Linked DNA regions of Cricetulus griseus. The protein of the gene in region 3 interacts with the protein of the main gene of each other region in a biochemical or structural test. Links are inferred from orthologs where the notes say so. Each region holds a gene or a part of one and is shown on either strand. Other genes may lie near its edges. The genes, in order: Map2k7, Mapk8ip1 and Map3k11.

What was found.
Region 1: of the proteins of Map3k11 (region 3) and Map2k7, one has a biochemical effect on the other in vitro, tested with the Homo sapiens proteins (2 studies listed by BioGRID). The link is inferred for Cricetulus griseus from reciprocal best matches to the Homo sapiens genes MAP3K11 and MAP2K7.
Region 2: the proteins of Map3k11 (region 3) and Mapk8ip1 form a complex in vitro, tested with the Homo sapiens proteins (2 studies listed by BioGRID). The link is inferred for Cricetulus griseus from reciprocal best matches to the Homo sapiens genes MAP3K11 and MAPK8IP1.

The regions. Positions count from the first base shown.
Region 1 is NC_048597.1:89,045,088-89,055,453, forward strand, and holds the start of Map2k7 (dual specificity mitogen-activated protein kinase kinase 7), read left to right. Parts: upstream 1-5,081; 5' UTR 5,082-5,158; coding exon 5,159-5,282; intron 5,283-6,991; coding exon 6,992-7,039; intron 7,040-9,718; coding exon 9,719-9,860; intron 9,861-9,966; coding exon 9,967-10,033; intron 10,034-10,152; coding exon 10,153-10,266; intron 10,267-10,360; coding exon 10,361-10,366. Other genes in the region: volume-regulated anion channel subunit LRRC8E, read left to right, coding at 1-1,909. UniProt on the Homo sapiens protein: Dual specificity protein kinase which acts as an essential component of the MAP kinase signal transduction pathway. Essential component of the stress-activated protein kinase/c-Jun N-terminal kinase (SAP/JNK) signaling pathway.
Region 2 is NC_048599.1:84,330,974-84,341,119, reverse strand, and holds the start of Mapk8ip1 (C-Jun-amino-terminal kinase-interacting protein 1), read right to left. Parts: upstream 6,338-10,146; coding exon 6,316-6,337; intron 5,879-6,315; coding exon 5,788-5,878; exon of another isoform or gene 5,362-5,787; intron 1,926-5,361; coding exon 1,473-1,925; intron 1,354-1,472; coding exon 1,145-1,353; intron 1-1,144. UniProt on the Homo sapiens protein: The JNK-interacting protein (JIP) group of scaffold proteins selectively mediates JNK signaling by aggregating specific components of the MAPK cascade to form a functional JNK signaling module. Required for JNK activation in response to excitotoxic stress.
Region 3 is NC_048596.1:53,641,527-53,651,141, reverse strand, and holds part of Map3k11 (mitogen-activated protein kinase kinase kinase 11), read left to right. Parts: intron 1-1,601; coding exon 1,602-1,782; intron 1,783-1,945; coding exon 1,946-2,094; intron 2,095-2,181; coding exon 2,182-2,357; intron 2,358-2,460; coding exon 2,461-2,704; intron 2,705-3,203; coding exon 3,204-3,317; intron 3,318-4,088; coding exon 4,089-4,224; intron 4,225-4,318; coding exon 4,319-4,410; intron 4,411-7,566; coding exon 7,567-7,947; intron 7,948-9,615. UniProt on the Homo sapiens protein: Activates the JUN N-terminal pathway. Required for serum-stimulated cell proliferation and for mitogen and cytokine activation of MAPK14 (p38), MAPK3 (ERK) and MAPK8 (JNK1) through phosphorylation and activation of MAP2K4/MKK4 and MAP2K7/MKK7.

The DNA.
Region 1 (10,366 bases), on a different chromosome or scaffold from region 3:
ATGGACCACTCGGGCCTTGTCTGAGGTGTCTGGAGAGAACCACAAGGGCCCAGCTGCTGGACGGGCCGTGGTGACCACAGTATCCGCAACAGGGGCAGGCTCAGGAAAGGCAGGTGAAGGTGAAAAGGAGAAAGTGCTGGTAGAGCCAGAAAAGGTGGTGACTGAGCCTCCAGTCGTCACCCTGCTGGACAAGAAGGAGGGCGAACAAGCTAAGGCCCTGTTTGAGAAAGTCAAGAAGTTCCGTGTGCACGTGGAAGAGGGTGACATCCTCTACTCTATGTACATCCGGCAGACGGTGCTCAAAGTGTGTAAGTTTTTTGCCATCCTGGTTTACAACCTGGTCTATGTGGAGAAGATCAGCTTCCTGGTGGCCTGCAGAGTAGAGACCTCGGAGGTCACAGGGTACGCCAGTTTCTGCTGCAACCACACCAAGGCCCACCTCTTCTCTAAGCTGGCCTTCTGCTACATCTCCTTTGTGTGTGTCTATGGCATCACCTGCCTGTATACACTCTACTGGCTCTTCCATAGGCCCCTCAAAGAATACTCCTTCCGTTCTGTGCGTGAGGAGACGGGCATGAATGACATCCCGGATGTTAAGAATGACTTCGCCTTCATGCTCCACCTCATTGACCAGTACGACTCCCTCTACTCTAAACGGTTTGCAGTCTTCCTTTCTGAAGTCAGTGAAAGCCGCCTGAAGCAACTCAACCTCAACCATGAGTGGACACCTGAGAAGCTGAGGCAGAAGCTGCAGCGCAACGCACGTGGCCGGCTGGAGCTGGCCCTTTGCATGCTCCCTGGACTGCCTGACACTGTCTTTGAGCTCAGTGAAGTGGAAGCACTCAGACTCGAGGCCATCTGTGACATCTCCTTCCCCCCAGGGCTCTCCCAGCTTGTGAACCTTCAGGAGATCAGCTTGCTTCACTCCCCAGCCAGGCTGCCCTTCTCGTCACAGATCTTCCTGCGGGATCGCCTGAAGGTGATCTGTGTCAAATTTGAGGAGCTCCGAGAGGTGCCCCTCTGGGTGTTTGGGCTTCGAGGCTTGGAGGAACTGCATCTGGAAGGACTCTTTCCCCCAGAGATGGCTCGGGCTGCCACCCTTGAGAGCCTCCGGGAGCTTAAGCAACTCAAGGTACTGTCTCTGCGTAGCAATGCAGGGAAAGTGCCAGCCAGTGTGACTGATGTGGCTGGACACCTTCAGCGACTCAGCCTGCACAATGATGGGGCTCGCTTGCTTGCCCTCAACAGCCTCAAAAAGCTGGCGGTGCTACGGGAACTGGAACTGGTAGCCTGTGGGCTGGAGCGTATCCCCCATGCAATCTTTAGTCTAGGGGCTCTGCAGGAACTGGACCTCAAGGACAACCACCTTAGGTCTATTGAGGAAATCCTCAGCTTTCAGCACTGTCGGAAGCTTGTCACTCTCAGGCTGTGGCACAACCAGATAGCCTATGTCCCTGAGCACGTGAGGAAGCTCCGAGGCCTGGAGCAGCTCTACCTCAGTCACAACAAGCTCGAGACTCTTCCCCCGCAGCTTGGCCAGTGCTTTGGCCTCCGCCTGCTGGATGTGTCCCACAATGGGCTTCGATCCCTGCCACCTGAGTTGGGCCTTCTCCAGAGCCTCCAGCATCTAGCTCTCTCCTACAATGCACTAGAGAGCCTGCCCGACGAATTGTTCTTCTGCCAGAAGCTGCGGACATTGCTCTTGGGATACAACCACCTAACTCAGCTTTCACCCCATGTGGCTGCCCTCCGGACCCTCAGTCGTCTGGAGCTTAAGGGTAACCGGCTGGAGGCTCTGCCAGAAGAACTTGGTGATTGCAAGGGGCTGAGGAAGTCAGGGCTGCTGGTGGAGGACACCCTGTATGAGGGATTGCCTGCAGAGGTGCGGGAGAAGATGGAGGAGGAATGAAGCCTAGGGGCAGGGAAGGGGCAGGGTGACACAGAGGCCTTCAGATGCTTTTGCCCCAGCATTGTCTTCCACCGGAGATGTGCAATAGGCCCAGTGGGAGAGGAAGGAAGGCCAGACATGTTGGTTTTGTGCAGTTCAGACAAGATCCTGGGACTGGTTTGTCTGGGGAGAAACAGGAGGTGGTGGATTTGGGGTGTAACCCCACAGGGAAGGATTAACTCAGTCTTAGATTCTTGGACCAAAACCACACCTGTGTCTTTGGCTGGCTGGCTTGTCCTTCCTCTGAACATTCCAGCTAAATTAGTGTCCCATACAAGAGTGGGGGATATATCCCAATGGGATTTCCAACCCTCTCCAATGACAAATCAGCATACATCTAGGGTTCTCTCCTAGGGAGAGGACACAGAGACCAGTTCCGACTTTAATGTCACATCCTTATTTTATAAATCCTTTGCCACAGAGATGGGTACTTAGAACAATGATTCTCACTTTTAACCATGTAATAAAATCAGCTGAGAAGCCAGGAAGAAAATAAAACATCCCACACCCTACCCTGAAATACTGACTCAGAACTTTTGGGTGGGGGCCAGGAACCTGCTACTAAATAAGTATGCCAGGTAATTCTGATTCGGGTGGTCCTGAGATAATGGAATTGTTGACATAAAGACTGGGCTGGGACTGTAACTCAAGTTGAGAGAGAGCTTGCTTAGCATGTAGGAAGCTCTGGGTTCCATCCCAAGCATTTCATAAACCAGGAGTGGTGGAACATGCCTATATAATGCTCTGGAGGTGGAGTGGGGAGGATTGAAAGGTTGAAGCCAGCTTGGAAGACATAGCAGAACTTGTCTCCAAAACAACTAAGAATGGAGACTGGAATGTCCACACACAGAGCTCCTTTTCTAGAGCCTTAGAGAATCCATGAAGCTAAGCACTGCATTTCCTCGGGAAAATGCTTATTTAATATTCATGAAAAATTCTGTAAACAAAGTTAGGCAGTCACAGACCCCCCCACTAGACTACTGTCTTAGTTAGGGTTTCCATTGCTGTGAAGAGACACCATGACCAAAAAGCAAATTGGGGAGGAAAGGGTTCATTTAGCTTATATTTCCACAATACTCTTTACCATTGAAGGAAGTCAGGGCAGGAACTTAAACAGGGCAGGAACCTGGAGGCAGGAGCTGATGCAGAGGCCATGGAGGATTGCTGCTTACTGGCTTGTTCCACATGGCTTGCTCAGTCTGTTTTCTTATAGAACCCAGGACCACCAGCCAAGGGAGGGAACCACCCACAGTGGGCTGGGCCCTCCCCCATCAAATACTAAGAAAATGTCTTATGGGCTAGAGGAGATGGCTCAGAGGTTAAGCCATCTTAACCTTAAGAGGCTGCTCTTCCAGAGGTCCTGAGTTCAATTCCCGGCAACCACATGGTGGTTCACAACCATCTATAATGAGATCTGGCGCCCTTTTCTGGTGTGCAGGCATACGTGAAAGCAGAATGTTGTATACATAATAAATCTTTAAAAAGAAAAATGGCTTGCAGCTGGATATTATATAGGCATTGTCTCAATTGAGGCTCCTTCTACTCTGATGATTCCAGTTTGTGTCAAGACTGGCTGACTCCAAGTTAAGGGTGATAGCTGGTGGAGGCTACCTTTTTTCTTAATACCTGCAGGGACTTTCTTTTGAATGTTTCCTGTGCAGTGGAGAATATCCCAGTGGGTGCTTAATAAATGAGAACTGTAATTCTGACCTCTTTGTATAGTATGGCTATCTAAGCTTTCTATAGCCAGGTCCAAACAATAACACCTACCTGTCAAATCAGGCTGGCTTTCCTGGGAGGAAAGACATCCCAGGTACTTAAATAGAGGGTGATGTAGAGACCTCATCTAATCAAGATAAATTAGATAGAGTTTTCTGCCTATTTTTTTTTCTAAATAACTGCCCCCCTACACACACAAAGTCAGTTGATGGTGATGCATACCTCTAATCCCCACACTCAGACAGGCAAACCTGAGTTCGAGGCCAGCCTAGTCTACAGAGCGAGTTCCGGGAAGGCCAGGGTTACACAGAGAAACTCTGTTTCGAATAGCCAAAACAAAACAAAGAATCCAATTTCCTCTCCTCCCTCCTCCTTTTATCCTTTTAACTCCAAGCATGTTTCTGCTCCACTTGTAGGTCATTGCCAGAGAGTAAGCCTTTTTTAAAGGCCCATCCCAAAGTGTTCACTGTTACTTTCAGAGTGGTGGCACAGCCTAACCTCCTGGGTATGGTCACTTGCTGAATGTCCCTGTACATTGCAAGCCTCCTCCTTGCCCTAAAAACCTAGAGGCAAACTGCTCCTTAGCCACCCAGATTTACAGATAGAGACGATACCCTAGCACCTTTTACTTAACTCTTTAAGCCGGGCAAGGAGCACACTCGGCAGAGGCATCTAACCCCAGCTGAGCCCAGCTTCTGAGGGCGAAGAGATGGGGATGGGGCGTCTCAAGGTCTCAAGTAGGCACGGCCAGGAAGTCTGGCCTTAACGGAGCTCAGGAATCGCCAGCTCTGGATTCCCTCTCCTCCAGTCAGGCCTTGCTCTACTCTGTACCGGCTGGAATGGAAAGGGATTCCCACGGGTGCCTAGTTTTTACGGTGAGGAGACGACTTCACGTTGACAGTGGGAGGTCAGGTCGCAATTAAGCATAACAGGGCCTAATGAAGGGCTGAGCAAGACGAGGAAGGTTGCTCTATGTACGCGGATGCCAGGGAGGGCCAGGGCTGGGAAAAGCCCGCAGGAAGTTAACGGAGGTACTGTGTGAACACGGATCCGGGAACGGCCGTGAGCGTGCGCAGTAGAGGCCGCGCGCGTGGCAGGTCTCCCCTTCTGCATGTATGCTGCCGTCCTGCCCGCCTTCCGCTACATAAAAAAAGGAAGAAAAGAAAAGAAAAACCGTGCTTTTTCGAACTGCGCCTCTGCCAGAAAAGCTGGGAGTTCGCGCATGCGCACTGCGGGAGGCAACTGTGGGTGAGGACAACGCACACTGCCAGCCTGGACCTCTAGGTGGCGTCCGCTCCCTACTGGGACACAGCGCGCACGCGCGGCGCTAACCGCGCGAGGCAGGGCGGGCACGCGCTGGGCTGGGCTGGGCTGGGCTGGGCTGGGCTGGGCAGGACGGAGGCTCGGCGGGGTCATTGGAGCGCAGGCGCAGTGCGGTGTTTGTCTACCCCGGGCTGACGGGCGGCCTGGCGGCGAGCGGCGGCGGGGAAGATGGCGGCGTCCTCCCTGGAGCAAAAGCTGTCCCGCCTGGAAGCCAAGCTGAAGCAGGAGAACCGCGAGGCCCGGAGGAGGATCGACCTCAACCTGGATATCAGCCCCCAGCGGCCCAGGCCCAGTAAGCACGGCGGCGTGGGGAGGGGGCGGGGGGGCGGGCGCGCTGTGGCAGGCCCCGCCCACCAGGCAGATCCCGCCCCCGCTTCCGGGGCGCTAGCTCTCCTCCCCTCTATTCCCTACCGCTGTCAGCTTGCAGAGAGAGGGTCACGGTGACCTGGGAGTCGGGTGGGCAGTCTCCAGGGCGACTTCCTCCCCACACACACCGAGACCCTGGGGTTCACATCACTAGGACATGGGAGTTTAGCCGCTGGGTCCCCTCACCCGGTGGTCGGCCCCCAGTGCCTCGTCACCTGCACCCAGCAGGCTTTCAGACCCGAAGCTTCCGAGATCACAGCCAAGTCTTTCAACCCTACAAATAGTTATATCTCTTTTGACCCGGTGGTTCCACTCCTGCTGCTTCTGTGATTGTCAAGAGGTTCCCCTCCCCTAGCAGACAGTCCAGGCACATGCATACCCATCTGCCCACCCAGGTCACTTAGCCCTCATTTACATCTAATTAGTTTTTGAATAGAGGAGTTTCCGTTTGACTTCTGTGGTCATATCTGATGGCTCCTTTTCCTAAACCTGGAAGGGGCCTTGTCATTGGGCCCAGCTGACTGCCTCCTTCATACAGGGGCACCTCAGACCTCTGTGACCAGCTAGCCTCAGGGTTGCTGTATGGCCCTCTGGAAACACATAGCCATTCCTCAGCCTGGCAGCTTTTGTCTCCTGGGCCCTAGTGACTGCTAGTCCTGCAGACACCTGTGGTCAGTGTGAATGTATCTAGTCCCACCCTACAGACACACACCTCCCTTCTGCCTCTTCCTTCTCTGGGCCTGCCTCCCTGACATATGGTCCTGTACCAACAGCTGTTCCCCCTTCTTCCTATATGCACACCCGGCTTGTCATCATCATGACCACAGTTAGCGTCCTTGTTGTATCCCAGATACCCCTGTCCCCAAGTCTTCTCTGTGAAGGGAATTTGATTTTTCTCCCTCCTCACCAACCCTGTGATCCATGCCTTGCCAACCCTCTTTGTATCCCTCTTGATCCCAAACAATGTCTTCTTTATACTCCTGTGTTATATAATTTTTGGAGTACATTATTAGAATTGTCTGTAGGTCACCTGGTAAGAGGGGAAAGGCAGCCTCCCATAGCTGAGAAATCTGTCCACTCCCTGGTCTCTTGGTAACTTTCACAGCCTGATCTTTTCCCTAATCCCTCTCCAGGGTTCCCTCCATCCTTCCCTCTTCTGGCCTGAGTCTGTCAGTTTTCCTCCCTGGAGAGTTTCTTACAGGGCCTGGGGATACCCAGAGTTCGGGATGCTTTCCCCTGGATTCTGCCTGGGACAAGAAGCAGGGCCAAGCTTTGGAAGCCCCCTGCTGGTCTCTGCATAGCCATCTTCCCCAGCCCCAGAGTGGATGAGACAGGGTTGGGTATGGGGTTCTAGGCACCCTAACAGGTGTCTGTCCCTAGAACAGAGTGAGACCTGGTAAGGCTGGTGGCTGGCAGGCCCCAAGGAGCCCCCTGCAGGTGTCTGTGTCTGTCAACTCCATGCCTTCCTCCCACCCTCCCATCTCTGTCGGTTTCTACCCATCTCTGCAGTTCAGTGCCTTGCGCCTCCCCCTCCTCTTCATTATGATTTGATTTCTTTTCTGTTGAACAAATCAGTTATTTCTGTTGTGATTTATCGTGGTTTTTTTTTTTTTCTTTCTTCCTTTCCCCATCCAGTTATTGTGATCACTCTAAGCCCTGCTCCTGCCCCGTCCCAGCGAGCAGGTACCAGCCTTTTTATCATTGCTGCTTGCATATCTGCACATTGACCTAACCGCTGCCCCTGCTGCAGAATGCTGTCCATCCCCACCTCATGCTGTGTGTGTGTGTTCTGTCTCTTCATTGTCACTTCCTCTCCCTTCACTACAGCAGTGTGAGTCTGGCTGTACTTTCTCTGTGCCCTCCAGCCTTCCCATTTCTTCTTTGGCTCAGCTTCGAACCCCCGGAGGATGAAATGGGCTCCCCTAATAGGTGGGCACACAAGGGTGCTTGTGTGTGAATAGGGTGGGTAGAGGCAGGTGCACTGTTCCTATTCAGTTGTGTCAGTTGTGGAGTGAATGAGTGTCATCACTTGTGTACTGTATCTGCTCTCAGGGCCAGGAACATAGCAGTAAGTAAAACAGACCAAGTTCCTGTCCTGTGGGGCTGATGCTGCAATAAGGGGTCCATCATTAGACACCGAGCAAATTCCTGATCCTGTAGAGTAGTCTAGTAGGATGAGGAACTCTGCACAGGGTTGCTCAGGGAAAGCCCATGGAGGATACAGGATTTGAACAAAAGTGTCCCAGGAGGTTGGGTGAGGCAAGACCCGCCCCCAACACACACATATAAGGACCCCATGCTGGGCAGTTCCGCTATGCTGGTTCCTAGGTATGCAATGTCTCCTGTGTATAAGAGAAAGAACACCTGTGTTGGCAGAGATGAGGAGAGCAGACTGTTGGTGGTAGTGTGTTCCCAGCTTGTGTGTATATATGGATGTGTGTGTGTAGAAGGATGGAGGGCTGGCCCTGTCCCCATTGTGTGTGTGTTCCATGTTTTTGGTTTACATGTGTGTGTGCACGTGAGTGTGTGCACGTTAGGTTGGTAGTCTGAATAGTAAGCATGTGTCCCTATGATCTGTTGTACCGTCTCCCACTCATTCATCCTCACTTCTTCCTCCCTCGTGGTCTTATTCTTACTGTACTCTCCAGGCCTGCGTGTGGCTCAAAAACCCCTCTAACCTCTGTTCTCTGGGCCTGTGTATATTTCTCTCCCCTTTTCCACTCTAGCCCCCATCAAATCCATGCTTCAGAGAGTGGGGCCAGCAGCCATTTCCATGGGTCTGAGGCAGCCCAAGAGGGCTTGGTGGTCTGTGAGGGTAAGGGGACTGGTAGGGTGTGGAGATGGTAGAGGTATGGACCCCAGAGAGCTGAGGTGCCAGGTAAAGAAGGATCACAGGTATCCATGGAGGTGAACTGTGGACACTTCCTAGAGAGTCTGGGTGCAGCTGGGGTCCCAGCCTCGAGGGCTAGAAAAGGACCTGAATGTCAGCAGTTAAAGCCCATTTGTCTCTGCAATCACTGGGCCCAAGTCACCAAAAGCCATGAGGTTGGCTGTGGGGAAAGAAGGTAGTAAAGTTAAGGGTGTGGAGAGGTGTGTTAGAAAGTGGCATGCCTTTTAACACAACACTCAAGAGGCAGAGACAGCCAGATCTCTGTGAGGTCGAGAACCAGCAAGGTCTACAGAGCGAGTTCCAGGACAGCCATAGCTGCTACACAGAGAAACCCTGTCTTGAAAAACCCAAGAAAAAAGAAAAAAACAACAAATTAAAAAACAAAGTGGCAGGCTCCAGACAACCTGGGAAGTCATGTTTGAAGGATGCTGTCTGCTGATGTCCTAAACTGAGCTAGCTATAATCCTTCCAGGGCACTGGAAACTCTGAAATATGAAAGGTTGATGGAGGGGAGATACTTCCAGAAGCCACAGGGGACTCACAGCCCCTGCCCCTAAGCGAGAGAGACTCCTAGATCTTCAAGCAACCTACTCTTAATGTCTCATATCCTCTCTGGCTGTCTATGCAGCACCTCCTCTGGGCAGCTGGGTCCCAAGTCTTGGCTCTTTTTCTGTGTTTCTCTGTCCCCCCCACATCCTAACACCGCCCGCCAGTCCTGGGGTGCCTGCTGCCTGCCCGCCGCCTGCCTGTAGCATGCCCAAGCCGTCCGCATGCAGGCCATTGGGACGTACCAAGCTCCCCTCCCTGGCCCAGCATCTTCCCCCTGCCCAGCCCAGCTAGCCCCTGGAAGAGCTTTGCCATCTAGATCCCTATCAATTCCTCTTCCCAAGAACTCAGGCTTAGCCTGGGTTCTGCTCCCTTGACACCAGTTCTGCAGGCCTGGCTGGGAGATGCACAGATGAGCCAGCTGGCCAGAGGATGGCCCTCCCTGACCTAGGAGTGGAATCTGGGCAAGACAGCCTGAAGCCAGAGTCCCATAGCTATTGGCTCTTGTTTGTACACAGTGCAGTGTTGGTGGCCAGACCAGGTTCCAAGCAGGTCCTGGTGGGCATTCTGTCCTCATGTGGTTCCTATGTGAGCACTGTTGCCCCGGGCCTGCTTCCTGGCACTGGGGCAGGGGTTCCTGGCAGAGAGTCCCTCCATTTCTCTGCAGTATGTACTTGAGGACAAATCCCCAGCCTCTGAGACCACCCCTCTCCCACCAGCCCATCCCATCTCTTTTTAGATCAGAGGGGCAGAGATGGTACCCTAAAGATGCCCCAGGGGGTGGGGAAGGAGGCCCCAGCCAGCAGAGCAGGGGGCTGTGCCAGCCTGGCCAAAGGGACATGAGAGAGGAAAAGATGGGGGCCCCCACCCCTTTTTGACTAGCTAGATGCTAACTCCTTTCATGCCCCTGGTTTTTAACCCGCCAGCCCTGCAGCTGCCACTGGCCAACGATGGGGGCAGCCGCTCACCATCCTCAGAGAGCTCCCCACAGCACCCTACGCCCCCCACCCGGCCCCGCAACATGCTGGGGCTCCCATCAACCTTGTTCACACCCCGCAGTATGGAGAGGTAAGCTGGTGGAGCAGGGACAGCACAGGGCCCTCCTTGTGCTGGTCCCAGAGAGGTGGGTGGTATCTGTGGGACCCTTCTGATCAGCTCGTGTTTTTTCCTTCAGCATCGAGATTGACCAGAAGCTGCAGGAAATCATGAAGCAGACAGGGTACCTGACCATCGGGGGCCAGGTACTACTTCCCCATAGGCACCCTGGGGGCTGTGACAGGACCCAGGCAGGCTAGAGGTGGTGGGTGATAGGAGCAGAGGACCCTCTGGGGACCCTCCAGCTGCCTTGCTCTCCACTCAGCGTTATCAGGCAGAAATCAATGACTTGGAGAACCTGGGCGAGATGGGCAGCGGTACCTGTGGTCAGGTGTGGAAGATGCGCTTCCGGAAGACAGGCCACATCATTGCTGTCAAGGTGAGCCTTCCACACCCCAGTTCCAGGATGTATCCTGTGCCCTTGCAGCCTGCCCAGCACTTGAAGCTCCCCTCCTGGCTGTCCCTCCTTGCAGCAAATG
Region 2 (10,146 bases), on a different chromosome or scaffold from region 3:
CAGACCAAGGTACACCTCAGGGTGGTTGTAAAAGTACAGTGAACTACACCGGAGAAACACTTTGACAGAAAAAAGTTGTGCCGATTCCTGCCAGTGTGGACAGCTACTTGTTGAACAGTGACTTGATTTGGACTATCTCCTTTCCAGGCTGGAATCAATATTAATTAGCCCACTCAACAGATGAGACCAAAGAGGACAAAAGCATGCTTGGATCAGGCAGTGAGGAAACAGTAGAGCTAAGATTTGAACCTATGACCCTCACAGTTAATTCTCTTCCCCTGCCAAGTTCTGACCAGCTAGGGAGAATCTGAATTCTTAGCCTGGAGGCTGAAGCCTTGGAGCCTTCCTTTGCGTTTGGAACCTTCCTCTGGCCCCCTTCTTCTGGTTCTCTCTGCTGGGCTCAGGGCCTCCTTGGAGGATTCAGGGACTGATCATATCATTTGAGATCCCTGGGGGTCTCTGCCCACCTGAGGACCTGGGAGCCAGAAACCCCTTCAACAGACGATGAGTTGGCGCCAGAGCCCAGCTGGGGCCTGGCTGGGGCAAGGGCCCCAGGAGATAGAAAGGCGCCTGCTCTTGAGATGGAGAAACAATGAGATATGGCTCAGCTTCTTTCTCCTGGATTCTGGAGCAGTGACACCCTTCTCTTCTTCCTCATCAACACATATTCTTTCTCTCTCTCTCTCTCTCTCTCTCTCTCTCTCTCTCTCTCTCTCTCTCTCTCTGTGTGTGTGTGTGTGTGTGTGTGTGTGTGTGTAAGAGAGGACATCACTGGACCAACGCATCACCCCTTATGACTCTGAAATTCACCTGACCTAATACCAGATTTGGGGGGTGGATAGAAGGGGAGCTCAGGTCAGGGTCCTGAGTATATATCACAGTAGGGACCCCCAACGGTATCCCTGGATATTCATAGGCAGATTCCCCTCCCACAGGCAGGTTGGGTTCCACTGATTAAGGCCAGTCCTTCTGCCTATACAACTGACCAGGTGGGAGCTGCCTAAATCTAGAAGACCTTGCCTACGACAGCCTAGCAAGCCGGCCAGGCAAGCTGGGGGAGGGGCTCACGAATCCCTCCTTAAAGCATCAAGGTTGTTAGCTCAGAAAACGGCCCGCGGGTCCCCAACCCCTTGCCTGCTCCCACCTTGGGCCGGAAACCTTGGGACGTAGTAGGGTAAAGTCTGCATAGGTTGCTGCACCGGGAATTCTAGCCAAACCCCAGACCCATTCTCAGTATCAAGGTGGAGGGGGAAGGCGACCTCCCAGGTCTCTGCCCCAGATCCACCTCGAGCACCCCACCCCAGGACGTGGAATGGTGGAGGGAGATACGGGAAGTACGCAGTGGCCACCAACCTAGACCAACCTGGGTTGCAGGGCCTGGGGGCTCGGCCAGGAAGTGAAGCCACCCTAGGGGTCCCCGGGGATCTCAAGGCCAAGCCGAAGGGCGGGGCGCGCGCGGCGGCTATCCTCACCTGAAATTGGGAGGCGACGCGATGTGCAGTCCCAGGAATGGGGAGGCGGCCGGCGGGGACGCAGCGCCCCCGCCCAGGCCGCTCTCTCGCTCCGCCATTCCCGGGCGCAGCCCTGGCCATCCGGGCGGAGCGCGGCGCGGGAGGCAGCGGCGGCGGCGGCGGCGGCGACGGAGGAGGAGGCGCGGCGAGGAGGCCGCGCCGCCGCGGGGCTCGGACTCGGCTGGGGCGGGCGCGGCTCCGGACCGCGCGCCGCTTTGCCTGCGGCCCCTGCGATAGCACCCTGCGCGCGCCCCCGGGCAGGCTGGGGTCTCGTGGCCCGCCCCCGCCCCGCCCCCCAGCGCTCTCCGAGGTGCTGACGCTTTGGTCCGGTGGCCCTGGGTGCACCCACCCTCCCCCAACATCCCACAGGACTCTACAGGCACCCGAAAAGCATTGCGCCCCAGAGAACGGGACCTAGATCCAGGGCATCAGGTAGCTAATGGCAGGGTACTGATCCCCAAGTCGGTCTTTGGTCCTCCACAGCAACGGGACTGGGAAGGAGGTTTCAGAAGAGGCAGAGAAAGGAAAGGGTGGTAGAGTCCAAGAGTAGCCAGCTTTGGATCCAGGTGGCTTAAGACCACAGCTTGGTTCCACAAGTAAACAGGCAGTGGGGGCTTGTATTGGTGACCTGACAGCTCTAAGGGTTGTCTTTCCCATTTTGTGAAATGGGGTATGATCCCTCCATGACTGCAGAAGAAGAAACAAAATAGAAATGCTTGCAGGGAATACCCACCTGTGCACTGGGATCTAGCCTTCACCCCTCCCAGAACTCTCCCTAAAGGGGCACCTCTGTCAAGGGCTCAGGTTGTCCTGGAAGTTACTATGTAACCCAGGCTGATTTTGAATGGTGACAATCTTTTTGAGTCTCTTGCTAAGCCTGGGGATTTGTGTCAACCCCCATGCCCAGTTTCCCAGCACTTGTCTTCCCTCTCTCACCCATGCACTCCTGAACTGGCTTCTCCCATCTGAAGGCCCAGACCTTCCTCTTGCCCCCAGAGCTGCTTTTTGGGGGCTGTTGGTTCTGTTCCCCACATCCACTCTGAGTTTAGCTGTTTTTATTTTTTTTTCTGGTCCTGTAGTAGGTTTTCTCACACAACATGGACTGTCAAGGCCAGGGCCCTAGCTTTGGTGAGTCAGAGTGCTTCCCACACACCTTCACTACTCCTCTGGCCAGACTATGCCCTTCACAGAGATGGAACAGGGCAGACAAATGCTCTACATACAGCCTGTAGAGTTCTGCTTGCAAATCTTAATTGACAACTGGGAATGTTGCCTCCTTTTCCTTCCTAGCAAGAAGCTGCAGGCACATGTCTTGCAATATTCAATCTCCATGTTTCAGCCCTGAGGACATTCTAGAACCCAGAGCTAGAGGCCTTGGCTGCCTCTCCCCTCCCTGCCATTGATGCTTCAAGAGGTGGTTTGGTCACTTTAACTTTCAGTCTTTTGGCTCAGGCTTCTCACACTAGGCCGTACCCTAACCATCTGCTGTTATGGTGCCTTCCTTCTTCCCAGGAAAGCAGACTTGTCTGGTTATCATGGCTAATATGTGCTTGTTGCAGATAGGTGGCATCCCCAGGATGGCAGAAGCGTGAGTATGTAAGACAGTTCCCTCTTCTAGAACCTTCTGCCAAAGAACAAAGGTATCTCAGCTTCACTAGCCAAGCCAGAACTACATGAAAAGCCCAGAGAGCAAGGCCAGCCCTGGTCTTGGTAGGAAGCAGGCCAGCAGAAACTTGGAGGCAGAGCCAGGAGTGAGATGAGTCCTGGAGTAAATGTCCTCTCCTGTCTCTAGAGCAGACTGTGATTTTCTTTGGCTTTGCCTGAGCCCTTCTCCCACCAGGAACACCCATGTGCATGGCACTCTGGCCAGATGGCCCAAGACAGAGCCAGTGTCTAGGCTTCGGGGCTTGGGTATGGCTTCCTTAACTGTGTCCACGGGGCACACATTCATTTTTAGAATACCATAAAGAATGGATGCAGGGCCCTGGATTTCAGTAGGCTGCCTGGTGCCACTGTGAGGTGACATTCAGGAACTGTCTCCTGCCCTGTATTGTTTCAGCTAACTCTGATTCTAACCAAGCTCTAGGGCTGCTGCCAGCCTGCTATAGTGGCTTCCACAGCCTCCTCTATCCAAGGGGGAATGAGACTCTTGACTCCAAGAGAACAGACATGGCCTATCTTGAAGCTTTCCCCAGGTTCAACCTCAGCAGCCCCAGGTCCCCAACCTCCCACAAGATTGACTACACAACACAGCTTTACTCAGACAGGGGCAGACATTTATAAAACAGGGAAATATTCACAAACAAACTGTGGGAGAAACACAACCTTCCCAGCAATAGGGAACTCTATAAAGTGCTTCTTGCCTGCGACCATCTCTTACCCATGCTAGGTCCCAGCAGCAGGACATGGGGCACTGCTCTGAGACAACCCTCAAAGCCACTCAGGCTAGGCAAAAGGAGGCATGAAGCCACTCCAGGGCTCCCGGCCATTCCATCCCATAGATCTGGGGGTGGGTGGACTGTTTCATTCCTTGGAAAGCTGTCCTGAAAATGGGCCAGCATGTCAAGGAGGTGGAGGGGCAGGTGATCTTGCCAACTTGTACCTTGGGAAGAGAGCCATCATCAAAAAGAAGGGCACTGTCCCCATAGCTGAAGGTGCTATGAAATAAATACTGGATGCAGGACCTGGCCTTTGATCCTCTCAGACCAGGCTCACTCTACCTTCCCTCCAGCAAGATCTCTTGGCTCTTTCCTCTTGGCCTGGGGCTGGGGAGCAGGGAGGCCAAACCCCAGGGCTCTGAACACACATCACCTGTGTCATTTCTCCACATGATCATAAGATGTTTCTAGTCAGAATGATGGACATAAACAGTTGGACTAAAGGCAGCTCTTTGCTGAGAAAACCTGAGGCCATCTCAAAAAGAAGCCTGTCAGATGTGCTGGACAGCTGGAGGAGAGGGGAGCCTGGCCCCAGGGTTCTGGTCTGATACAGTGTAGGCCAGGACCAAGGGCATTAACAACTCTGAGGCTAGGAAAGGTCACAGGGGAGGTAGAGAGGAAAAGGCCCAGAGGCCAGCTTAATGTTACATGTGAGAACAAAAATCCACACAGGGAACACACACACACACACACACACACACACACACACACACACACACACTCTCTCCCCACACGAATACACTGTGGCTCAAGTGCAGGCCACGGGGATGGAAGGAAGACTTGCTCAGTTACCCACAATCCTTCTCATAACTTTTTTCTCCACATGACCCAACAGTGGGAGGGAGAGGTGGCTCCCCTGGGAAGCAAGGCTTGGCTTCTCTGGGCCAAACCTTCCACTGCCTCTCTGGGAAGGGGGTGGTGTGCCAGCTGTGATCTCTATTTGACCTTTCATCAACTGCCCCAGGCAGTGCCCCACCCCTTAGTCCTGAAGAGCTGACATGGCAGTGTGGTTGCTGATCACTCCAGGGTGGGCCCTGGGAGCCTGCAGGACACAGACTGGCCAGATTGCCTGGCTGGGTGTCAGCAATACTTGCTGGAGCATGTGCCTGGGAGTGTGGCCAGAGGAGCCAGGGGCCCTCAAGCCACACAGGACCTGGTTTCCTCCACCAGCTCTGACCCTGGCCTATCAACAGCTCCTAGGAGGCCAAGGCTGGGCCCTAGCTGCTAGGGAAGAGACAGGAGACTGGGAGTCTAGTCCTCACTTGGCTTCTAGAAGGTCCTACAAAGACAGATATGCTGTCTGAGGCTGACATAGGCAGGACTTGAGCATACAACACTCCAGTCTGCAGTCTTAGACATCCAAGGGAAGAGCCTGCCAATGGCATGGGATTTTAAAAGGTTGGACAGGACAGTTATGTTTAAATGGGAAGCCTTTACTCCAGCCTGCTCAGGTTCTAGTGTCAGAACATGGGAACTAAACCAGCAGGACTCTGGCTACCTCTGGAACCCCACACTTTAGTCGAGAGTAAAAAAATGTGGCCTTCCAGCTGTCTGAAAAGATGAGGGATGAAGAGGAGTCTGGGGAGGCAGAGACCAGAATTCCAGCTAGGATCCTACCACCATGTTCTACTGGGACAAGGAAGGGGGCTCCCAGAAACATATTTGGGCTGAAGGTCATTGCTGTGGCTTCTGGTCCTGTGTCTGGAGGTGAGGAAGCAGCCCCAGTGACAGGGATGATCGAGAGACTCCTCCAGCCCAGTTGACATTCAGGATCATGAGAGTGTAAACAGATGCATGCACACGCAAATGGCACACCACGCCTTCCTCTGCACACACACGTTCGTTCCTTCTGTCTGTTGGTGACTGGCTTCTCTGTAGGCTGTGGCAGCTCAGGCACCCGGGCTGTGTCATGGAGCGATGGCTCTCCAGCTGAAAGAGAAAAACATGTACATAGAGGGTACTCAGGAGGCTGCTTAGTTGCCCAGGCACCAGCTCCTCTGGCTGCATCCCTGGGGATTCCCAGACTGGGAGTGGGACAACCTAGTGAACATGCTGCTTGGGCCACAGTCCCCAGGGCCAGGTTGTTGCTGGGCAACCATGGGGGTGGCTGGATACTGCATCTCTGAACCCAGGACAACTGTTCCCTGCATGCCCTCTTACCCAGGGATGAGGGCAGTATAGAACAGGGCTACATGGGCATCACTTGATACCTTGAAGGGTACTTGCTCACACATGCAGAGCACAGCTACTGCATCAGAGATGGAGAGCTGGGAAAAGTAGCTGCATGAGAAATTGCCTGGTTCTAGTGGTTCTGAAGAATAAGGCAATGAATGGGTTTAGAACCAGCAGGGCAAACTTCCACACACCAATCACAGGATCCTGGCACATGGCTACAGTGGTTGGGGGTGGGGGAAAAGAAAGGGAATGGGGACACATGATGACTCATTTTAAAGATTTAGAACATTCTGGATCTGGGGCAGAGAGAGAAATGGCCTCACCAGATACCAGAGGACAAGGTTAGCCCATCATACTTACTGGGATGCCTGTAATAATAGGCTGATGGAGTGGCTGCAGCGCAGGTACACTCTTGTGTTCACAATTGATGTCCCTGTTTATGTGGCTCAGGTCCTGACTCCCAGCACCTATGACTCTCTTTAGGTAAAACTGAGATGACTAGGGTGATCGAAAATAGAAAAGGAACTTTGACCCAGACAAAACAGAGGGAAAAACCTCGGCAAGCACCAGAGACTATGACCTTGAACCAGACTCCAGAACCAAGGATTTGTTTCTGTGGTGCTTTACTATGGCAGCTCTCACGGACAATCACAGACCAAGACAACCTGTTTGCCTCCATTTTCATAAATGAGGAACTGAACTGACACGAGTGTCCATACAAATAGCCAATATAGGAATTCCCAGGTCTTCAGGATTCAAAAACTCTGTGGGTTTAAAAAACAAAAAACAACCCCCCCCCCCGAAAACTCCTAATTTTATGTGTATGACTATTTTGCCTGTATCTATGTCTATGTACCACATGAGTACCTGGTGCCCCCAGAAGCCAGCCAGGAACCTCTGGAGCTGGAGTCACAGACAGTTTTGAGCTGCCATGTGGTGCTGAGAATTGAACCTTGGGATCTCTCTAAGAGCAGCCGGTGCTTTTCTGAGCATCTCTCCTCCAGGCCCTGTCGTTTTGTTTTTAACCAGTTAGTGAACTTTATATTATTCCTCACCAAGACTTTTACAAGATATTAAAAAGAATAAATTCAACATAGTGGCATAGAGATCAACACCTACACAAACTAAAATGGAAGGTATTAGAAAAGAGAAAACACATGTAAAAGTCAGATGAATTTAGAGACATGGATCCAATGTTAGCCTTCTAGCACATTCCATCCCATTTCGGGTATTTTATCTATGCAGTTGAGGCAGCCTTGGACTCCTGGATCTTTCTGCTTCTACCTCTCAGATGCTAGGACTACAGGTGTTCAGAGCTCAGGCAATCCTTTTAAGGCCATAGTTCCAACTGAAGCCACCTGCACTTGGAGAGTGATACTCTGTCTAGACTGTAGAAGCTGGGCAGAAGGCAGAGCAGAAGTGGATACACATGTGGGCAGTTCCCAGGATCTTGTCCTTTAAACCAAGTATAACTGCACCATCCACCTTCCTCTTGGAGAACATGCTGCAGTAGGCAGCCGGACTCTTCCATTAGGCAGCCTGTGTTTACAGAGGCACTTCGAGTAGTTTCCGAGCAGAGCTTGTCTGCTGCTGTGAAAGCTGAGAAGAGCTTCCTTCTGAAACAAAAACTCCAGTGCCACCTCCATTTTGTTTCCTCTGTCCTCGACTCTTGGAGTTCATGGAATTATGGGCATATCTTTAAATTTTAAACTCATTTTTTTTCTTGGTTTTCCTAGACAGAGTTTCTCTGTGGCTTTGGAGGCTGTCCTGGAACTAGCTCTTGTAGACCAGGCTGGTCTTGAATTTACAGAGATCCTCCTGCCTCTGCCACCACCTCCCAATTTTAAATTCATTTTAAGTGAAACAAAATGGCATATTATGTGATTTTTAAAAATTATTTTGCCCCTTCTCTCTTCTCTTCCTAGACAGGATTTCATATCATCCAGGCTGGCATTGAATTTGCTATGTAACTAAGGACCTTGGACTGCTGACACTCCTTCCTTAGTCTTCTGAATGCTAGGCTTGCAGGCATACATCACTAAGCCTAGCTTATCATGTGCCTACACAGGTACATATTATGTATTCAATTTAAACCTAGCTCCACCAACATTTATCATTTATGGAAAGCACTCAGCCTCCTTTCTAATGACCCCCTCCATGTCAGGAGATAAGAATTGGAGCTGAGATACATCTGAACATTCTGCAGGCAGGAGCACAGGCCTGGGATGCAGAGCCAGGCTCTCTGGGAAGGCTGGGCTGCTTCCATCTCCACACTGGATACACTGTCAGTGATACATCTGTCACAGACCAGTTGCACAAGTGTCAGAGTAACAATGGGGATTCTGGAAGTCACATTCTAGGTAGAGAAACCTCAGTGCTAACAAGGCACAGGCCAGTGAGGGAAGGGGCTCTTTGGCCATGGCCCTCTGTGCATGGAGGGGTTTCTCACTAGACTGCTGTGCAGAGCTGGAAAGGGAAAGAAACACACACGCTGTCCCACGGTAAAATCACTGGATGAATGAGAGAAGCCGGTGCATAACTGGAGGCTGATGCAACCTTGTCTGTGTCAGCAGCTCTGGGGGTTACGGGAACCAGCTGACAGGACTGCTATTTGGAAGCTCACTGTTTTCTTTTTTCAGTTTAGTGAACATTGTAAAAACTAAATGGAGAACATTCAGTTGGCGTGGGTTTGAGGCATGGAACCCACTGATCCCAGAGATGTTTTTTTGCATACTGATTTAACTCATAATGACTGCTCATGAGACAGCAAGCACCAGAGACAGCAGGGTTACAATGCCAATAGAGCAGAGCTAAGAGACTAAAAGCAGGGAATGATTACTCAGGCATTGGCCTGCAGCCCATGTCATGTGACTAAAATGGACAGGGGATGGGCCGGAAGGGGCACTTCTTCCCATCCACACAATTCTGACTGGGTCCACAGCCCCACCAGTCAGGTGATCAAAGTCACTCGGAAGCACATGCAAGGTAGCACCACGCCCTCCTCTGCCTGGTGTGCTTCGCTCACAGTTAGACTTTTCACACAAAGGTTTTGATTTTCTCCCTGACATACTGATACGTGTGTCCCAGCGGTAGGGCAGGTGACAAGAGTTACAAAGCATTTCACAGCTGTAAGGGTTAATCTTGGTTGTCAACTTGATTGGATTTGGGATCAACCAAGAGCCCTGCCTCCAACCAGGTCTGTGAGGACATTCCCTAGGAGGACTACTGAAGGATAGGGGGCAGCACCTTCAAGCAGCAGTCCAGACATAGAGGTCTGCTTCTGTCTGCCTGACTGCACTCCCTGCTGCTAGGTGCATCTATCCTGCTGCTGCCCTTCTTCACTGGCACTGGGACCCTTCTTTGACCTTCCAATTCATATTGAAGACCAGTGGCTCTCCAGGAATTTGTCTGGCTTCAGAACCAGCCTTGCAAACTGCAGTTCCTGGGTTCTTAGCCTCTTCAGTGTGCAGATGGCCACTGTTGGACTGCCTAGCCCACTGTGTAAGAAAGACAATCTAGTACTTCCTTTTAAATATGAACATTGTGTAGGTTCTGTTCCTCTAGAGCACATACTACAAAAGATGAGGGTCTTGAGGCCCAGATGCCCTAGCCTATACATAGGAGGCACTTTTGGGGTTTCCAAAACCATGATGTTCCCACTGTCTGTCTTGGAAAGATGTCTGCTCCTATCACATCCTCTGACTTCCTGGCTCCTTTCCATCTTCAAGAGCTTTGCCTGGCTTAACCACCTAAATGAGGTATAGAGCAAAGCCTCCGAGATGCCAGTAGGTAACATACTATAGGGCAAGAAAGGCACAAGAAATCCTCTGCACAGCCGATATCACTTGGCATCAGCGTCAGGTTTCTCAAGTGGTTCTTGCCTACCTGGTTCTCTGTAGGGCCCCATCAAGTGTTTAGTCTCCTCCAGAGGCAAGTTTGACCATTCTGTTCCACAGGTGGCTTCTCTCCCAGAACTCCCTCAAGGGGCCCCTCTGCCTAGTCAGACTGTATAGACAATGATC
Region 3 (9,615 bases):
CCCAAGTTTAAAAGATGCTATCCAGGAGCGGGGGCTGGTGCCCGGAAGAGATAGAGCAGCCCAGAGGTGGTGAGGAGAGTCTGAGCTCTGAAAAGCACCAGAATCGAAGCAGCTAACAATGGGAGAGGCTGCAAGGAAACAGTCACACAGAAGAGGCCTGAGAAATGGAGGGTTTGGGGAGGGCTTAGGCAGCAGTGGAAATGGGTTCTGGATTCAGGCTTTCAGAGATGAAAACCTGGTCCAACACCTCCTCCGAGAAGCCCTCCCTGACTCACCTGGCCACATAGGTGCCCCTCCCCTCTCCCTCACTCTTGATACTTATCATGCCCCCACTGCAAGCCTAACGTCCTGTGCAGGAGATCTGACACATGTTCAAAATAGATGGCACTTCTTACTACAAATGGACTGTTCAGACCGTTGATGATTCATGACTTTTGTCCTCCTATTGCTCTAAAACTTCTCACTTGAGCTTTTTTGTTGTTGTTGTTGTTGTTTTGGTTTTTTTTTTTTTTTTTTGGTGGTGGTTCTCCTTTCTCCCCTTTTGTTTTTTGAGACAGACTTTCTCTGTGTAGCCCTGGCTGGAACTCGCTCTGTAGACCAGGCTGGCCTCAAACTCAGAGAGATGCACCTGCCTCTCTGCGTCTAGAGTGCTGGGATTAAAGGCGAGTGTCACCACTGCTGCTTGAGCTGTTTTTATCCGGGGAAGAGATTTCTAAGTTGCTGCCTCTCCTCCTTGTTCTGAGAATGGTTGCCGCACTTCCATCAAAGTCAGACAGCCCTGTGAATTCTGACCAAGAATTCTTTCCTCCCTTTCCTCCCTTTCTCCTCACACCCTCTGCAGATATCTTACGGAGTCTCCTGCTGTGGGAGGCTGTGGTAGTCACTGTAGGCTCCAGGACCTGCAGGCCTTCTTGCTCACTGAGGGTGTCCGTCCGTCCTAGTCCCCAGCCTAGGTTCCAGTTCACACCTTGCCTCAGCAAAGTAGCAAGACACTCAACAGGTTTCTCTCTCCCTCTCTGTTTTTTTGTTTTTTGAGACAGGATTTCTCTGTATAACAGCCTTGGCTGTCCTGGAACTCATTCTGTAGACCAGGCTGGCCTCAAACTCAAGCGATCCGCCTGCCTCTACCTCCTGAGTGCCTGGCTCAGGTTTTTCTTGAAAGCGGAGCACCAGTCCTGAGAACCTACCACGTTAGTTTTTATTCCATTCAGTGTCAGGAAAACGCTACATTAGCTTTGGAGCCACAGGCTGAATGGAATCTCTGGTTGCTATGACCTTGATCAAGACATTTCCCTACCTGTAAAATGGGAATAATTCCTACCTGTTTGTTCCATTTGGTTTAGTGTGGCTTGTTTATGTAGTTACAACTAAGTGTAAAAATTTGGCCTCTAGCACTCAGAGAAGGAGAAGCAGCAACTTAGAAATCCCTTGCCAGTTAATGTGTGCCACAGTTATCGCTTAAGTCTCACTACCAGCTGTGAGCTTCTCAAGGCGGATCCTCTGTGTGCTTGGTCCTGGTCGTGATGTCTATTGGGTGTGTATGCACCATGCTCTTCCCCTAGCCCCATTACCTCTCTTTTCAACACCCTCTTCTTCCCCAGTTCTGCTGCTGCAGCCGATTGAAGGTGATGACATGGAGCAAAAGACCCTAAAGATCACTGACTTTGGCCTCGCCAGAGAGTGGCACAAAACCACACAAATGAGTGCTGCGGGAACCTATGCCTGGATGGCTCCTGAGGTTATCAAGGCCTCCACCTTCTCAAAGGGCAGCGATGTGTGGAGGTACAGCCTGGGTTGGGACTGGACAATCTGGGGCTACAGAAGGTGAGAAGGGGTGCTTAAGACTGGCCAGATGGGCTGAAGCCAGAAAGACCCCAAATTACCTAATTAATTACTCCTTGCTTTGAAGTGAAGAAAACACACAAATCCCTTGTCTTCCCCACAGCTTTGGAGTGCTGCTGTGGGAACTGTTGACTGGGGAGGTGCCCTACCGTGGTATAGACTGTCTCGCAGTAGCCTATGGTGTGGCTGTCAACAAGCTAACATTACCCATCCCATCTACCTGCCCTGAGCCCTTTGCACAACTCATGGCCGGTAAGAGGACGAGCTGGGCAGGAGAGGGGGAAAATTCCCTAGCCCCAGACACATACATCCACAGACTCTCTTATCCTGCCCCATTAGACTGCTGGGCACAGGACCCTCACCGCAGGCCCGACTTCGCCTCCATCCTGCAGCAGTTGGAGGCGCTAGAGGCGCAGGTCCTACGAGAGATGCCACGGGACTCCTTCCATTCCATGCAGGAAGGCTGGAAACGCGAGATCCAAGGCCTCTTTGACGAACTACGGGCCAAGGAAAAGGTGAGAAGACCCCAGGGATACAAGATGGGGCAAAGAATGAGGTGGGAGGTCTGTCTGGATCAATGCTTAGCTAACCCCACCTCCTTCACTTTCCGGAGCACAGGAACTACTGAGCCGCGAGGAGGAGCTGACTCGCGCGGCACGCGAGCAGCGGTCCCAGGCAGAGCAGCTACGACGGCGCGAGCACCTCCTGGCCCAGTGGGAGCTGGAGGTGTTTGAGCGCGAGCTGACGCTGCTACTGCAGCAGGTGGACCGAGAACGGCCGCACGTGCGTCGCCGCCGCGGCACCTTTAAGCGGAGCAAGCTCAGGGCGCGCGACGGCGGAGAACGCATCAGCATGCCCCTGGGTAAGAGGCGGGGCTCCGGGCTTCTTCTTTGCTATTGGCTGTGGGTGTCTGGGGGTGTGGTCAAACTTGTCTGCTGGCCGCTTTGGGATTGGTTTGAGGTATCGGTGCCCTGACCAGCTGGAAGGCTGGAATAGGGAGGGGTTTATTTTTAGTTGGTTGTTTTTTGTGTTTTTCCTGTGGGCGGGTCGCGATGGGAATATTTGCATGTCCGGCTGCTAGTGGCTGCCAGTGGTGCTCCTGAAAGTTCTGAGGACTAGAGGGTGGGGCTGGCCTCCCTGCACCGTAAACCTACTTATCTACCAGTTAGTCCTGGTGAAGGGGGTCAACTACTTGGCTCGCTTTGCTGAAGGCCTCGAGGCAGGAATTCAACGAAGCAGCGCCAAGCACACAGCCATTGTTGCCACTACCAGAGAGGCCTGGGAGCCTCCCAAGGGTCCCTGAGGTTTTGAGTGCTTCCCCTTCACAAACCTACACCTGCTCTCTCCTTTCAAAATCCCAGATTTCAAACACCGAATCACTGTGCAGGCCTCTCCTGGCCTTGACCGGAGGAGAAACGTCTTTGAGGTTGGGGCTGGGGACTCGCCCACTTTCCCTCGCTTCCGAGCAATCCAGTGTAAGAAACTTGGCCTTCCCCATAGCCCCTAAAACTCCCCATCTGGAGGTGGATCCACCTTCCTCCCTATATCCTGTTCCCCTGCTTCCAGGCTTCCCGCCTCTTCATCTAGAGTTTTACCTTTAAGTTCCCCGTCCCCCTCCCCAAAAAAAACCCACTTTACTTTGTTCCCCAATCAAATAATTACATAATATCATGATTTTTTTTTGTTTTGTTTTTGAGACATTCTTAACTTTGATCCACCTGAGTACCAAGATTAAAGACCTATACCACCACACTTGGTTCCTTTTTGTTTGTTTTTCGAGACAGGGTTTCTCTGTGTAGCTTTGGAGCCTATCCTGGCACTCACTCTGTAGACCAGGCTGGCTTTGAACTCAACAGAGATCCACCTGCCTCTGCTTCTGGAGTGCTGTGATTAAAGGTGTGCGCCACCCAGGAGTTCTTATAGTCTTTATTTTCCTGAATGTTTTGCAAATATTAACTCAGTAATTCTAGTGGATTACTAAGTATAGACGAGAAAATTGAAATGAGTACTTTGCCACATGGCCAATAAGTGCCAGAGCAAATATTCAAACTCAAGTAGTTGAAGGTGACTTGCTAACTGCTGAGTAGCAAAGGTCAGCTGAAGGACTCAGTACATGCTTCCACCTCACTGCTGACTCAGGGCCCAGTCCCACCTAGCTCACCAAATCCCAAACCACTACCCCCATCCTGGCTGTTATGGTGCAGGAAGACAAGGATGGACTCAGATCTCATGGTGTTGTCTTACAGTGGAACCTGCAGAGTCAGGCCAGACTTGGGGTCGCCAGTCCCCTAGACGTTTAGAAGATTCAAGCAATGGAGAGAAGCGTGCTTGCTGGGCCTGGGGTCCCAGTTCCCCCAAGCCTGGGGAGGCCCAGAATGGGAGGTAAGTGTCTGAGTGTCCCCCAACCCTGCTGTTATACTCTTCTTTAGTGTTCTAAGGCTCACAAAGCATGTCTTCCCTGCCCCTCCCTTTCCAGAAGAAGGTCCCGCATGGATGAAGCCACGTGGTACCTGGATTCTGATGACTCATCCCCACTAGGATCTCCTTCCACTCCCCCGACACTTAACGGTGAGTAACTTTGTCTCCCCTATCCGATCTTGCCTAATTCTTTCTGTGGACACTTGGATAGACTGTGAGAAGCCAGCAGGAAGTGATGGATTTCTGCCTTGAGAGCTCTCACTCAAGACTAGGAAACTAAAGGTGAGGCAGGACAGAACCAGACCTAGAGCCTGGGTCACCAGTTCTGGCCTCCAGACCCTTAAAAGTAGACTTACCTGAGGCCTTGGGGCTTCTAGAGACTTCTAGAGACTAGCCCTCCTGTGCAGCACCTCAACAGGCTCCATCAAAGACAAGAAGCAGGGAATGGTTTCTTCCATTTGGTACCCAGAAAAGGTAGAGCCATTCTAATGGCTTCCACAGTGCTCTTTTGAGTTCCTTCTGGGAGTCCATGGGTGGAGAAGAAGATAGTAAGACAAGGCAAGAAAAGATCTGGGGCCTTGTTTGCATCTGGGGAAGTTCAAGGCTTCTGTTCTTCGTAATGAAAATGGCCTCACTGTGAGGGAGACATGTCTAACCCCGTGAGTAAGGAGCCATTATTCTCCCCATTTTAGATGCAAGAAAGTTGAGTCTCCAAGTGGGGAGGGAGTAAGCTACCTCAGATCCCCAGCTAAGGACTCTAACCAAGAGAAGCTGTGGGTGGCTTCCATATTCTCAGCTGGTTTCCTGGGAAGTTTTCCTTCTATACAAACTACTTAGGAAGCTAAATGGGGCTCCAGCACCAGAGGGAAGACGGCTCAGCTCAGGTCAACACTGTCCAGACTCCACAGAGCCAAGAAAGTTGTGATGTGTCTATGGGACCCCCTTCTAACCTAGGACCATACGCAGGAATCCCAGCCCTATCTGCTTCACACAGCAGAATGTAGACCTTAGACCCTATTTCAGTGGCTCTGAGACTGAGCCCTATTCACCAAACTGCCCAATAGCTGTGTGGCCATCCCATTCAGCACCCACAGACGTAGCCATCACCTCCTTCCACATGTTTCTGTAATAATAACAGCTATTGGATTTTTCCTATCTGCTAAGCAGATATGGTCAGTGGCTCCCTTTTACAGAGGAGGAAACTGAGGCACAGAGAAGTTAAATGGTTTGCTGTAGGGCACTGGCAGAGCAAGAATTTGAACCCAGGTTCATCTGACCTTGGAAGCAAGCTCTTCGGCTTCCCTCTACTAAGATTTACTTATTTGTTTTGTTTGTTTGTTTGTTTGTTTGTTTTTCTGGTTTTTTTGAGGCAGAGTTTCTCTGTGTAATAATAGCCTTGACTGTCCTGGAACTATCTTTGTAGACCAGACTGGCCTCGAACTCACAGAGATCCATCTACTTCTGCCTCCCAAGTGCTGGGATTAGAGCTTTGTGCCACCACACCTGGTTTTAATTATTACTTTATTATTTTATATGTTTGGATGTTTTGTCTGGAAGTATGTTTGTACACTGTGTACATGCATTGCTTGCAAACAGCACAAGAGGGAAGGGCATCAGATCCCCTGTAACTGAAGTTATAGATGGCTGTAAGCCCCCATGTGGGTGCTGGGAACTGAACCTAGGTCCTCTGGAAGAGCAGCAATCAGCACTTTTAATCACTGAGCCATCTCTCCAGCCCTCACATATTTTGCTCCAGCAGTTACAGCCCACAGTTGGCTGTTATATGAGGGTTGAACTGAAAACTGGAAGACCTGGGGGATTGAATTTGTTTGTTCTAGAATGCACCAGGCCAGAAGGACCAAAGGAGAATTTGAGGGCCTCTGAACCTGGGTGTAGGTCAGATCAATCCTTGGTGATGTCCTGCCAAGCTCTCTAGCCATAGTTCCCAGAGGAAGGGACACAAGACTTAGATCCCACACCTCTCCTGCTGGTCACTCTTTATGAGAGGACACCACCACCCCAGCCTAAGCATGTGGTTCCCTGACCCAAGCCTGTACTCTTGTTGCCCTCTGGGTCTATGAGAAGAGTACATAAACTTGACCTTCCAAACACCCACAGCTGGGAAGCTAGCTCACAGAGGGCCCACACTCAGCATCTTGTGAGTAGGCCACTACCAGGGATCCCTAGATGGAGGTTCTGGCCCTTGGGAACCTGGTTGCAGTGAGTTCCTCTTTGGCAGCCTGCAGTCAACCTACACTGACAGAAAAATGCCTAAAGGGTATTGCCAGGAGCCACACTCACTAGCCCAAAGCCCCTTGGAAGCAAGTTCGCCTTCAACTCCGGGGCAAGTGTCTAATGCTGTCTTCTCCTAAATAGCAGGAGCTTAGAAGCAAATGTAAATCCTAGGCAAGTTGCCTTGGACAAGCCACTTAACTCTGGGACCTCTATTTCTCAGAACTGACTTCAGGAACTTCTAGTCACCCTATTGGGTTCCAGTCTCCACTCTCACTTCCCTCTTTTCATTTTTCTCCTGCTTGTTTTAGATTCTTTTTTACATTTTTATTACTATTTTGTTCCAGGGAAATCCATTGCCCTTTACTGGTCTCTGCAAGCACCAGGCATGCACAGTAGTACACAGACATACATGCAGCCAAAATACTCATACAAATAAAATATTTTTTCAAAAAGAGGACTTCCTGGGCCTACAGAACCCCCAGCTAAATCCTGTTCACAGCAGCAGCTGACATTCCCTAGCCTTGTATTTCTTTCTCTAGTCACCCAGACCTCCAGACTAGTCAGCTGGGTGCCTGTCACAAAGAGGGAAGGACAAGGGGTTAGAGCAGGCAGGGCTTCGATGACAATGCAATGTGAAGGACTCTCAGGACAGCTGGCTAGGAGGTACAGGAGAGAGCACCTGAGAAGGTGAGGTGAAGGTCCAGTGGCCCTCCCAGACCCCTCCTGTGGAGGACCATAAACAAGCCTGACTGGAGGGGGTCGCTTGCAAAAAGTTACAGCTCCTCTGAGGAAGTGGGCTGGTGTGCTTGGAGGATAGCTATCTTCTACAAAAGCTGCTTCCAGACTTTGTTCCAGGTTGTTGCCCCTGCCCCCAGACCCCTTCCCTTTGACAAAATGTGTGTGATGGGGAGGTTCTGCAGACCAGCAAGAGCCGCTCTGCAGATAGAGCACAGGAAGATGGCAGTGGGAAGCAGAACTCAGTTCTTGTTCCAAGGCCACTGAGGGGTCCCCAGGATTCTCACCTCGCAGACGTACTAGCCTCAATCTAACCTGAGCCACTGCTGCTCACAGGTAACCCTCCACGGCCTAGCCCAGAGCCAGAGGAGCCACGGCGTTCTGGGCCCACAGAACGCGGCAACAGCTCGGGGACTCCCAAACTGATCCAACGTGCACTGCTGCGGGGCACCGCTCTGTTAGCTTCCCTGGGTCTCGGACGTGACCTGCAGCCTCCAGGAGGCCTGAGCCGTGAACGTGGGGAGCTCCCACCAGCACCACCCCCTGCACAGATGCCCTCACCCAGCCCAGCCGAGCTGCCCTCCACCCCGCTCATTCGCCTTTCACCCACAACACCCGATGCCCGTGGCCCACCCAACCCGACACCCTTATTGCTGGACCTAGGTGTTCCCTCTGGCCAGCCGTCAGCCAAGAGCCCTCGGCGGGAAGAGACACGAGGTGAGTGACCTTTAGACAGAGGGCAAGATAAAGACCCTCTGAAAAGGGAGGAATTGTTAGGAACTCCAAGGATCTCAGATAGCTGCTAGGGACCCAAACCAGATCCTTAGGCTCTGGGGCCACTGGTAGAGCTCTAGGTTCAGCTGTGAAATAATACAAATCTCCCTAATGGTGACAGACTCTTACTGATTAATTGGACCAAGTACTGTAACCATTCTATAGAGAGGTTATTACATTAAATTATAATCTGTGTATCAAGCATTTTTTTTTGTTTTGGTTTGGTTTTGGTTTTCGAGACAGGGTTTCTCTTGGCTTTGGAGGCTGTCCTGGAAGTTGCTCTTGTAGACCAGGCTGGTCTCGAACTCAGAGATCCACCTGCCTCTGCCTCCCGAGTGCTGGGATTAAAGGCGTGCGCCCAGCTGTATCAAGCATTCTTAAATTAAAATTCTTAGACTTTTTTTAGATTTTATTTATTTATTATGTATACAACATTCTGCTTCCATGTATATCTGCACACCAGAAGAGGGCACAAGATCTCATTATGGATGGCTGTGAGCCACCATGTGGTTGCTGGGAATTGAACTCAGGACCTCTGGAAAAGCAGCCAGAGCTCTTAACCTCTGAGCCATCTCTCCAGCCCCCTAAATTATTTATTTATTTATTTATTTATTTATTTATTTATTTATTTATTGGTTTTTCGAGACAGGGTTTCTCCGTGTTGCTTTGGAGCCTGTCCTGGCACTCACTCTGGAGACCAGGCTGGCCTCGAACTCGCAGAGATCCGCCTGCCTCTGCCTCCAGAGTGCTGGGATTAAAGGCATGCGCCACCAACGACCGGCTAAATTAATTTTTTTAAAAGATTTTATTTATTATGTATACAATTTTCTGCCTGCTTGTATGCTTGCAGGCCAGAAGAGGGCACCAGATCTCATTATAAATGGTTGTGAGCCACCATGTGGTTGCTGGGAATTGAACTCAGGACCTCTGGAAGAGCAGTCAGTGCTCTTAATCTCTGAGCCATCTCTCCAGCCCTTTAATTAATTTTTTTGGGAGCATTGACCGGTGTTTTGCCTGCATATATGTATGTGTAAGGGTGTCTGATCCCCTGGAACTGGAGACACAGACAGTTCGGTAAGCTGCCATGTGGATGCTGGGAATTGAACCTGGGTCCTTTGGAAGAACAGCCAATGTTCTTAACCCCTGAGCCATCTCTCCTCCAACCCCATATCAAACATTCTTCTTCTTTTTTGGTTTTGGTTTTTTTGAAACAGGGTTTCTTTGTTTAACCGCCCTAGCTGTTCTGGAACTCTGTCTGTAGACCAGGCTGCTTCGAACTCACAGAGATCTGTCTGCCTCTGCCTCACAAGTGCTAGGATTAAAGGCGTGCGCCACCACCCAACTGTATCAAACATTCTTATACCCAGTTTTTAGATGATTTTTTTTTTTTTTTTTTTTTTGTTTTTTTTTTTGGTTTTTCGAGACAGGGTTTCTCTGTGTAGCTTTGGAGCCTATCCTGGCACTCACTCTGGAGACCAAGCTGGCCTCAAACTCACAGAGATCCACTTGCCTCTGCCTACCGAGTGCTGGGATTAAAGGCATGCGCCACCAACGCCCGGCTAGATGAAATATTTTTGTTTGATTATATATAGAGTCTCCCTGTGTAGCCCA